Mus musculus: one gene and its partner. The protein of the gene in region 2 interacts with the protein of the main gene of each other region in a biochemical or structural test. Links are inferred from orthologs where the notes say so. Each region holds a gene or a part of one and is shown on either strand. Other genes may lie near its edges.

Region 1 (4,903 bases), on a different chromosome or scaffold from region 2:
GTGAGTTCCAGGACAGCCAGGGCTACAAAGAGAAACCCTGTCTCGAAAAACCAAAAAAAAAAAAAAAGAACATGGTCTCAGAAATGTCCTTCATGGGGCCAGCAAGATGACTTAGCCAGTAAGGGTTCTTGCTGCCAAGCCTGACGACCTGAGTTCAAACTCTGGAACTCACATGGAGGGAAGAGAGAACGCATTCTTGAAAGTCCTTTAGAAGCCTGTCCTAGCCTGGGAGATTTGGCAACAAAATTAAGTGGTTAGCATCGAAAGCCATGCATCACTAAGCCCAGCTTCTCTCTTTCTTTCTTTCTTTTTTTTTTTTTTTTCCGAGACAGGGTTTCTCTGTATAGTCTTGGCTGTCCTGGAACTCACTTTGTAGACCAGGCTGGCCTCGAACTCAGAAATCCACCTGTCTCTGCCTCCCAAGTGCTGAGATTAAAGGCTTGCACCACCACCGCCCGGCTTTTTTTTTTTTTTTTTTTTTTTTTTTAAGATTTATTTATTTAATGTGAGTACACTGTAGGTGTCCTCAGATACTCTGGAAGAGGGCATCAGATCTTGTTACAGATGGTTGTGAGCCACCATGTGGTTGCTGGGATTTGAACTCAGGACCTTCAGAAGAGCAGTCAGTGCTCTTAACCGCTGAGCCATCTTACCAGCCCCCTCTTTCTTTCTTGTACTGGGGGTGGAACGCAGAGCCTCCTGCACCACTGTGCCCATCGCCAGGCTAGGACACTGTTTTTGACCGAGTCTTAGTTGGCTTCCAGCACACTTTATCTTTAACCTCCTCCTCTGGTCACCACAATGCGTGACCACGCCTGCTTCATGGGGTTCTGAGGCAGAACCCGGGGCTTCCCGCAGTTACGAAAGCTCCCTACCGAATGCAGCACACACCCAGCACCTTACTCAACACTGATTCACCCACTGCACGAGCACGCGTGAACATGTACTCATGCAACATTTGGGGGCTCGGTTCTCTCCTTCGACTCCATGTGTCCCTGAGATTAAACACAGGTTGTCAGACTTCAGGGCTCTGTCCACTGAGCCAGGTTTGGTTTTGTTTCTAAGATTTTATTCTGCCAGGCCGCAGTGGCTTCCAGCACACTTTATCTTTAACCTCCTCCTCTGGTCACCACAATGCGTGACCACGTGCATTCTTTTAACCCAGAACTTGGGAGGCTGAGGCAGGCAGATCTCTGAGTTCAAGGCCAGCTTGCTATACAAAGCAAGTCTCAGGACAACCCCACCACCACCACCACACACACACACACACACACACACACACACACACACACAAAAATCATTTTTAATTGCCATGCCTGATGAGGCCAGAGGCATCAGATACCCTGGGCCCTTGCTAAGCCTCTAGTTTGATTGTTTTGTTTTTTTGTTTTTTTTTTTTTTTTGGAACTAGGAGCTCACTTTGCAACCCGAGCTAGCCTGTAACTCAGGACTGGGGTTCAGGTCCAAGCCACCATGCTGCTTTCTTGGTCTATCACCGACACCCCAGCCTCTATCCACCGTCTCCCCTGAGCTCAGGACCATCTCACATTCTCCTGAGCCCAGCTCTGGATCCCCCACCTTGGGTCATCCCCTTGTCCAGCTCTTTGGACACTCACCCATGCACAGGGTCCACTACGATGGCTCTGGGTCTGGACCCTGCCTCTTGGAACAGTGTCCTCCTCTTTACGCCCTTGGTGTCAGCCACAGATACGCTGCCTGGGACTGAATCTGTCCAGTAGATGTTGCGGTGGATCCAGTCTACCGCCAGCCCGTCAGGGGCATGCAGGTCCTCACTGATGATGGTGTCGTAGGACAAGTTAGGGGCCTGGTCCATCAGGGCGCTGAGGCAGAAGAAAGGGGTCACAATAGAGCCTGGGGTCAGGGCCTCCCTAGGGGACAGACTGTCAAAAGGGTGACGGGGCTGCAGCTCACCTGTAGATCTTTTTTTGGGACAGGTCGGACCAGTAGATTCTATTGTTGGTCACCTCCGTGTCGAGAGCCACCACATTCTTCAGGTTGGGGAGCAGACTGGTGTACTCGCTGCGGTCCAGGGTCATCTTCCGGACCTCGTGGCGGTTGGTGAAGAGCAGATAGCCTATGGAGCCTGGAAAGCCACGCAGGGTGATGAGAGATGGAAGCCAGGGTTTCATGGATGCCAGGCAAGAACTCTGCCTACAAGCCCCAGCCCCTGGAACCCATTTCTCTAGTAAGCTTAACTAGGGAGGTAACGGGCTCAGGTCACACTTTGTGCCTCTTCCTATCTCCCACCCTGTCTGGATGGGAAGCAGGGCAGGTAGAGTTCTGGGAAGGATAGATATGGGTGAAGGCAGGTCCCTACTGTACACCTCCGCCACCAGCCAGAATCCTAGAGAGATGCCATACCCAACTAGGGAAAGTCATGGCAGTTCTGAGCCCCAGGGAGGAGCTGCCCAGCCACCCCCCTCGGCCGGCAGCCCAGCCCCCCTCAGCTGGCAGCCCAGCCCACCTTGGCCGGCAGCCCAGCACTCACCCACAGCCTTGCAGACCCTGGTGTGTGGGTCCATGTGGAAGCCGGCCTGGCACTCACACTTGTAGCTGCCTTCCAGGTTCACACAGAGCTGGCTGCAGGTGTCTGGCTCCTGACACTCGTCAATATCTGTGTGTGCATGGGGACAGAGAAAGGGTTTCGTCTAGGGGAGAGGAACCCTTTCTACAGGACAACAGGAGAACAAAACATGTATCCTCCAGTGGCTAAAGGATGCCACCCTCACAAGACCCTGTCACTCACCTCCAATGGCTAAGGGACACCACCCTCACAGGACCTGGACCCTGTCACTCACCTCCAGTGGCTAAGGGACACCACCCTCACAGGACCTGGACCCTGTCACTCACCTCCAGTGGGAATCTTCCAGCCACCTTTCCTTCCCTTCTTTATTTTTTTTCCATTTTTGGTTGTTTTTCTGTTATTTTTTTTTATTGTTTGTCTTTGTATGTAGCCCTAGTGGGCCCAAACTGACCATGGAGACCACCCTATCCGTGAACTCAGAAATCTGCTTGCCTCTGTCTCTCAAGTGCTGGGTTTAAAGGAGTTTTGCACCACATTTGAACTCTTTTTTCTGAGACATTTCACACAGTCCAAGCTGGCCTTGAACTTGCTACATAGAAGACATTGAACTTCTGTTCCTATTGCTGACACATCCCAAGCATTAGAACTACCTGTGTGGGCCACCAGGCTAGGTTGCGATGCACTGGGGACAGAATCCAGAGCTACCTGTAAGGCAAGAGTTCTAGCAACGGAGCCCTTGCTCGAGCTGGAACCTCGATTCGTGATGAGGATCCCCAAAGGCAGGACCTGCCATTGATACACTTTGCTCTTAACAGTCAGGCCAGGACCCAGTGTTCACCCCTGGAACTCTCCTAAGAGCCCTAAGCAGTGGGGACTGCACTCCTGGCCACTGAGCACATGGGGAAACTGAGGCACGGGTTCACTGGGTGGCTGAATGTGCTGCAGACTCACCTTCACACCTGTGGAGGTCCACCAACCGGAAGCCGCTGGGACACAGGCACTCAGAGCCAATCTTGAGGTCCTTGCAGATGTGGGAACAGCCACCATTGTTGTCCAAACACTCGTTGGTCTCTGCGTGGGATTGAGAAAGCAGACTGGCTGTCCTAGCGCCGTACACTTTCCACGGGGAACACTACGCTACTGCACTGCCTTCGCAAAACACTTGGAAGATCATTCATTTTTATTATTTTTAATCATGTGTATAAGCGTGTCTGCATGTGACTGTGAGAACAGATGACCTCAGAAGCCAGAGGCACCGGAAGCCAAGAGATGGATCCCCCCTGTAGCTAGAGTTACAGGCGATTCTGAGCCACCTGACTTAGGTTCTGGGAACCAGACTTGAGTCCTCTGGAAGAACAGCCAGTGCTCTTAGGTGCTAAGCCATCTCCAGACGAAGAATGTATTTATATAAGTGCCAGGGATCTGAATCCAGGCTGCATCTCCCAGCCACCCCTGCCTCCCATGCCTGTCCTGCCCTGGAGCCAAAGCTCTGTCACATCTATGATGCACAGCGAGCCTTTTACATGCTGCGGGGGCGCTGGCTGGGCTCACAGCCCCACAGTGACTACACACTGATGCTATCCCCGGCTCCCCAACACTCACTGCACTCCTTGATGGGCTCATCCGACCAGTCCTGGCAGTCGCGGGCGGAGTCGCACACCTTGTCCAAGCTGATGCACTCCCCACTGTGACACTTGAACTTGTTGGGGCCATCACACTGTGTCACTGTGAGAGGCAAAGAACAGTCAGGAGGGCCTGAGCTACAGGGTTTGCCTGCTCGCGGTAAGATTACACTTCAGCGCTGGAGTGTGTGGCTCAGTGCTCCAACCCCTGCCTAGAGTTCCCCAGTGAGGGAGGGGCTGGGGGCCTGCCATTGGGTAGCCCTGCCCGAAGTCTCACTTTGTAGCCTTACTGGTCTTGAATTATAGTCCACAATACTGGACATCAAGGAGACCCTCCTGCCTCAGCTCCCAAACCCTGGGATTACAGGGTTGTCCCACCATGCCTGCTGTAAATAATTTCCCAGGGGTGTTTTGCTTTTTATTCTCTGCAGGAGACCCAGGGCCTTGAGTGGGTAGACAAGTGCTCTGTCACTGAGACAGGTCCCTGGGTTACTGGGAGCTGCTTGCTTGGCAGGCAGACAGGAAGTTAATGTTTAATGGGAGGAGAGTTTGTTTAGACTCTGCATGAGAGAGAGCTCAGCGACAGACAGACGGCTGCAAAGACTGTTTTTGGCTGAGTTGGGTTTCTTATATAGAGGTCTCGCCATGGTCCAGGCTGGTGCAAGTGTGTTTGCTTCCTATCTCAGGCTCCAGATTGCTGGAACTATAGACCTCTACCACCATGCCCAGCATGGCA
Region 2 (5,003 bases):
GAATATTTGTAAGGTATTTTCAGAAACAGTAAAAATTTCTTATGCCAGGTTCCTTCATAAACAAAATCTCTCTCAACCTTTAAAAGGCCACAGCAAGGCAGGCAAAGTGGACATTCCAAATCCAAATGGATGGTAGTTTTTAATGTTTCCATCGCTTGTTTAGTAAATAAAAAAAAGTGGTAAGTTAAACCCTCTCAGAAGAGCCTGTTCCCCATTAGGAGTCGAAATCTGCAGGATCACGTGTTTCACATGCGTGGCCCATTGCCAAGCCACAGGAGTATGGAAAACATCAGTGCTGGGATCCAAAGTTTGCTGTGGCTTTCAAAGCAATCATTTTCCTTTTTTCCACACGCCACTGTAGTCTCTTGCATTTTGGTAATAAATATTAAACATCACCTTCCTATTTTGGTTCATCTTTGAGAAAAGTATTATATAGTCAGCTCAGAGGGAAACGTACCGGGTATGTGTGTGTGTATTTTGGTCGTTTGAAAAGGAGACCACACCCACAGGCTTCGGTTGTCTACCATGGCTGGTGGCCCTTAGTTTAACAAGGAGGAAAAAAACAACAACACATGTCCAACAATCATTTTTAATAAATCTGTAGGCTGAAATTTACTTTACAGTGGCCCCTCAAAGAGTTCTTTTATTAAGATTTTGTGAAACTTAAAAAAGTTTTAAAATCTGTAGGAGGCCAGACAGAGCCGCTCCTGCTACACACTGTAATCTGACACTTAGGCTGAGGACTGACCAAGTTTAAGTAACCCAAGAGGAACTGTTTCCTGCTTTCCGCTAGAACGGTCTACAGTGACCTGTAGTAACACTGCTGAGGCGGGGTTACTAGCGGGCGTTAGATGAAGCTGTCAGGAAGTTGGTTTTCTTTTTGTTTGTAAGAAGTCAACCCTGCCTCTCCCACTAATATTATACAGAACAGGAAAAACAAAAACAAAACAAAACAAAAAACCAAGTGTTGAAAAACCCACCCAGGCCAACTGTGCTTTGGAAAACTTGAATTTTTCCTGAACTTCCTTTGCACCAAGTCAATTTTGCCAGGGAACATCTCCGGGAGGGCACGATAGCTACCACTAAATGGAATCTGAGGTGTACTTGACATTGGTTTGTTTCGGCCTCGCTTTACCTTGTCTGCTCCTGTAAGATGAGATGAGGCTCCACAAAGAACTTGACCCTCAGTTTAAGGCGGTAAGGTGCCAGCCCATCCATCTGCTGGGAGATCCGGTTTCTCAGATTCAGCCATAAGCTCTCACCTTTGCTCCCCGTGAACTGCAGCCCAAAATAATCAACCTCGATGATCCCTAGACGCCTGCACACCTAAAAACAAAACCAAAGGTATGGGGTGTGAGCAGTGCAAACCTAAGGGCTCCATCCGAGGAGAGGACTGGCCCCTGCTTTCCCAAAGTTCTACCTTCTTGCAATGCCAGTTGGTAGACCGACCGGAAAAACAAGGTTTTAAGGAAACAGCAAAGCCAAAACGCAGCCCTCCAGTGGAGGCTTGGCCTTGCTTGACTATTTCTAGGGTCTGACCAATGGCACAGGGAAAGGGGTCCCCCCAAAACAGACTTCCCAAAAGGCTGAGGTAGAAGAACACACAGGGTGTTTTATTTCTTATTCCAATCGCTGGAATTCCCCCCGCCACCCCCCCCCTCCGCCCCGCAGCACCATCTGCACAGCTGATTTGGCAGCGTATTATCTGGACAGTTTTAACCATCTGGATTCCAAAAACACAAACGCATTGAGGAAGCATGCTACAAGTGTCAGCTAAGCTTTACAAGCGCCTTTCCAAACAGCTCAGGTCCACAGGTCTCGTAGACACAGTATTTCAAGGGGTCAAATGGGCCTGCCAATATCCATTAGGCACACCCCGTTAGGAGCCTTAGTCACCCTTAAGAAAACACACGTGTAAAGACCCCTCAAGAAGGAGGCTGCCTGCAGAACCGTCCCCCGCAAATTACTCAATATACTCTGGATCCCTAGCAAGCCTAGAGTGTCAGGTGAACAGTCCTTCTGAGAAGCGGCTTGAGATTCGGGCCCACCTGATCAGCTAGGGAGCCCCGGGGCCAGCGACCGCTTGCAACCATCTCATCCCGGGACGCGGGTGGCGCTGCCGGGCTTTGCAAGGACTCCACGGGAGGCATCACACACACACACACCTGCGGCAGGTGTGCCGGGCCACCTTCTTTAGAGAAAAGTGCCAGGCTAACGGACAGGGTGGAGGTTCCCAGCAGTGTTCTGGTCTCCGGGCCCCGGATCCCCCACCGTAAGCGTCCTCTATGCTCCCCCCGCCCCCCCCCCACCGCACTCTCCACTCGCGGGGAGGAGGAGGAGGCTGGAGCCTGGCGTCCCGGGAGCACTCCACGGGCCGCTGCTGCAACGTCGCCCGGCTCCCGGGGAGCATCCCCGAGCCCCGAGGCTTCCCGGGGACAAGAAGGGATCCCCTTTCCGATCGCCGCCCTCACCTGGTTGAGACAGTCCTCGCCGTTGGCTTTTGCCTCCACCTCTACCTCCATCAGCACCGCGTCCGGCCTCGTCACATAGCACAGCATGGCTGGGGCCGCCGCCACCGCCGCTTCTTCTCGGGTGTGCGCCGGAGCTGTCGCCTCACCGCAATTGCTCCAAGTCGACTCCGGGCTCCGTGAGGAAGGTGCAGCCGTGCGGCCACCCGCCCTGCACCCCACGCAGCCGCCACTCGCGTCCCCGCCACCCCCACGACAGCCAGTTCCCGGGAGCTACACGGCCGCGCCGCTCCGACAGCCCTACTGCCTGCGCCGCTACAGGCACGCGTCTTTTATAGAGGCCCCGCCCCTCCGGCACCGGACTCCGCCAATCACAGCGTGCTTGCCCCTCCTCCCCAGCTCCGGCAACCAATTCCCAGTCTCGGTGGGCTGAAGCCCCGCCTCCCGGCACCGCCTGTGGAGCTGCGGGAGGTGGGAGCCCATCCTCTCCCCAATCCCCAGCACGGTCGCGGCCTCTGCCACTGGGCGACGCTCCTCCCAGCCCGCTGTCGCCCGCAGCTCCAGGGGACGCCTTTCTGTCCGGGTTTGAGAGAACTGTGATCAAAGGCTCCTGTGATGCTACGTTGCTACTACGGTTCTCAGGACTCCTGCGTGGGGTTACTCTAATAACCAGGTGGTTTGTGAAAGCCAAAAGAGAAGCAAGCAAGACAGAGAGCCTAAAGAAGAGGCTTTTCCGCTGGCATTTGCCACCGTGGGTTGTCAAAAGAAGAATCTAAGTAGAAAAGTTTTTGCAGCTGACCCAATATAAGCCGGTAATTTGATCCAAGCACCATTCTTATATTAACTCGTGCCAAGGGTTTCTATGTGTGGGTTCTGCTACATTGAAACACCTTACCAAGTTATGTCACCCAGCCTATCTCTCATCCAATTCGTTCACTATACACCTGGTACACTCCCTGCCCTTTCTTTCAGACACCCAGATGTTACCCCATCTTAAAGATAACAGGCTCATCTCAGGACCTAGCAGGATGGGAATCTCAATACAAGAGATTAGTGGTTAAAGGTGTACAACCTTCATATTTTTACCACCTGTTTCTCTTGGCCTATACTGTCTTTTTTGGTTTCTAAGATAAGCCGGGAGATATGGGTTTCAGCCTTGGATCTTTGGAAAACTCCATCTCTCTGAAGCTCAGTGTCCTCGCAGAATGGAGACTAGCTATTTTTGGACACCCCCTCCTGCAAGCCGCCCCCCCTCGCCCCAGCACCGCTGGGAAGCAATCTAGCCATCCCTGCCTGCCAATGACCCTATCTCTGTGCCGTTTGTTTGCTGTGCGTTTAAGACGAAGTCTTGCTGTATAGCTCAACCTGGTGGTGCACCTCGTACTTGGGCTCAGTGATATTTATTTCTGACGATGGGGAAAACATCGGAGAAGGACTGGGATCTTAGCAGAGCCCTCGCGGAGAGAACTGTTCAGTCTTTTGGCTTTGTGTTTCAGGAACACATGGTACAGTTCTCGAACTGCTCCAAGTCCAGTGTAAGCTTGCATTCATCCACCGGTCTACTGCTCATTCCTTTCCTTCCCGGAAGCAGGTCTGGCACGTGTACCTGGGAGATAACATTTAGATTATCTAATCTGTGGCCCATCGCTGGAAATTTCACCATAAGGAGAGGAGGCAACATGGAAATTGGTTGTATTGCTTAATATTTTTGAAAGGCCAAAACTTAACCAGCTTAAACAAGGGGGAACTTAGGGGACAGATTTGGGGAAATTCCTAGATACTGGGAGTAGAAAGGAGCTGAAGAAGAACAAAAATAAACAAACAGAATAAACAAAGACAAGACAAGAAACAAAAACAGAAACATTTCTATTTAACTATCTTTAAAACTATCTTACTTTGGGGTTTGGCAAGGATTTTTTTTAAATGGCTTTCTTTCATAGAAATGATTCTATATTTATATTTTTAATATGAGCAGCTAAATAATTTGTAGAAGCGAAGGAAATGTCAGGTTTAAAATTTTTAATTAAGAAAAATTTAACAACCATCAGTTACTTACAAACCAGTTGCATGGCTAACAATGACATAGGCATCTCTTTAACCCACATCCATTGAATTCCTTCTGTGAGATCCTCAATAAAGAGCTAATCATTTTAAAACCAAGTATCTCCAGAAAAGAGCCAGCAAAGGGGCTCTGTGGATTAAGGTACCTGCCACCAAGCCTGATGACCTGAATTTGACCCCAAGACCCATGGAGCAACAACCACAGGTTGTCCTCTGACCGATACGTGTTACATATATGAACACTAAAGTGTAAAAATTAAACTAAGGCATCGCCAGTTACTACTGAAGAAAAGAGGTGGTTTTAACAAAAGAGATCAAGGGCTGGGATTGAAACTCAGTTGATAAAGTGATCACGTAGTATGGACTTAGCCCCGAGTACCATCAAGTGGCCCTGGTGGCAACAGTGTGCCACCACTGTGTAATGGCAACAATGTGCCACCACTGTGTGTAATGGCAACAGCGTGCCACCACTGT

What was found. The genes of interacting proteins can lie anywhere in the genome.
Region 1: of the proteins of Mylip (region 2) and Ldlr, one has a biochemical effect on the other in vitro, tested with the Homo sapiens proteins (4 studies listed by BioGRID, with this or other methods). The link is inferred for Mus musculus from reciprocal best matches to the Homo sapiens genes MYLIP and LDLR.

What each region holds. Positions count from the first base shown.
Region 1 is NC_000075.6:21,736,587-21,741,489, reverse strand, and holds part of Ldlr (low-density lipoprotein receptor isoform 1 precursor), read right to left. Parts: intron 4,271-4,903; coding exon 4,148-4,270; intron 3,617-4,147; coding exon 3,497-3,616; intron 2,636-3,496; coding exon 2,510-2,635; intron 2,105-2,509; coding exon 1,933-2,104; intron 1,842-1,932; coding exon 1,617-1,841; intron 1-1,616.
Region 2 is NC_000079.6:45,387,512-45,392,514, reverse strand, and holds the start of Mylip (E3 ubiquitin-protein ligase MYLIP), read right to left. Parts: upstream 2,774-5,003; 5' UTR 2,559-2,773; coding exon 2,472-2,558; intron 1,327-2,471; coding exon 1,136-1,326; intron 1-1,135. UniProt on the Homo sapiens protein: E3 ubiquitin-protein ligase that mediates ubiquitination and subsequent proteasomal degradation of myosin regulatory light chain (MRLC), LDLR, VLDLR and LRP8. Activity depends on E2 enzymes of the UBE2D family.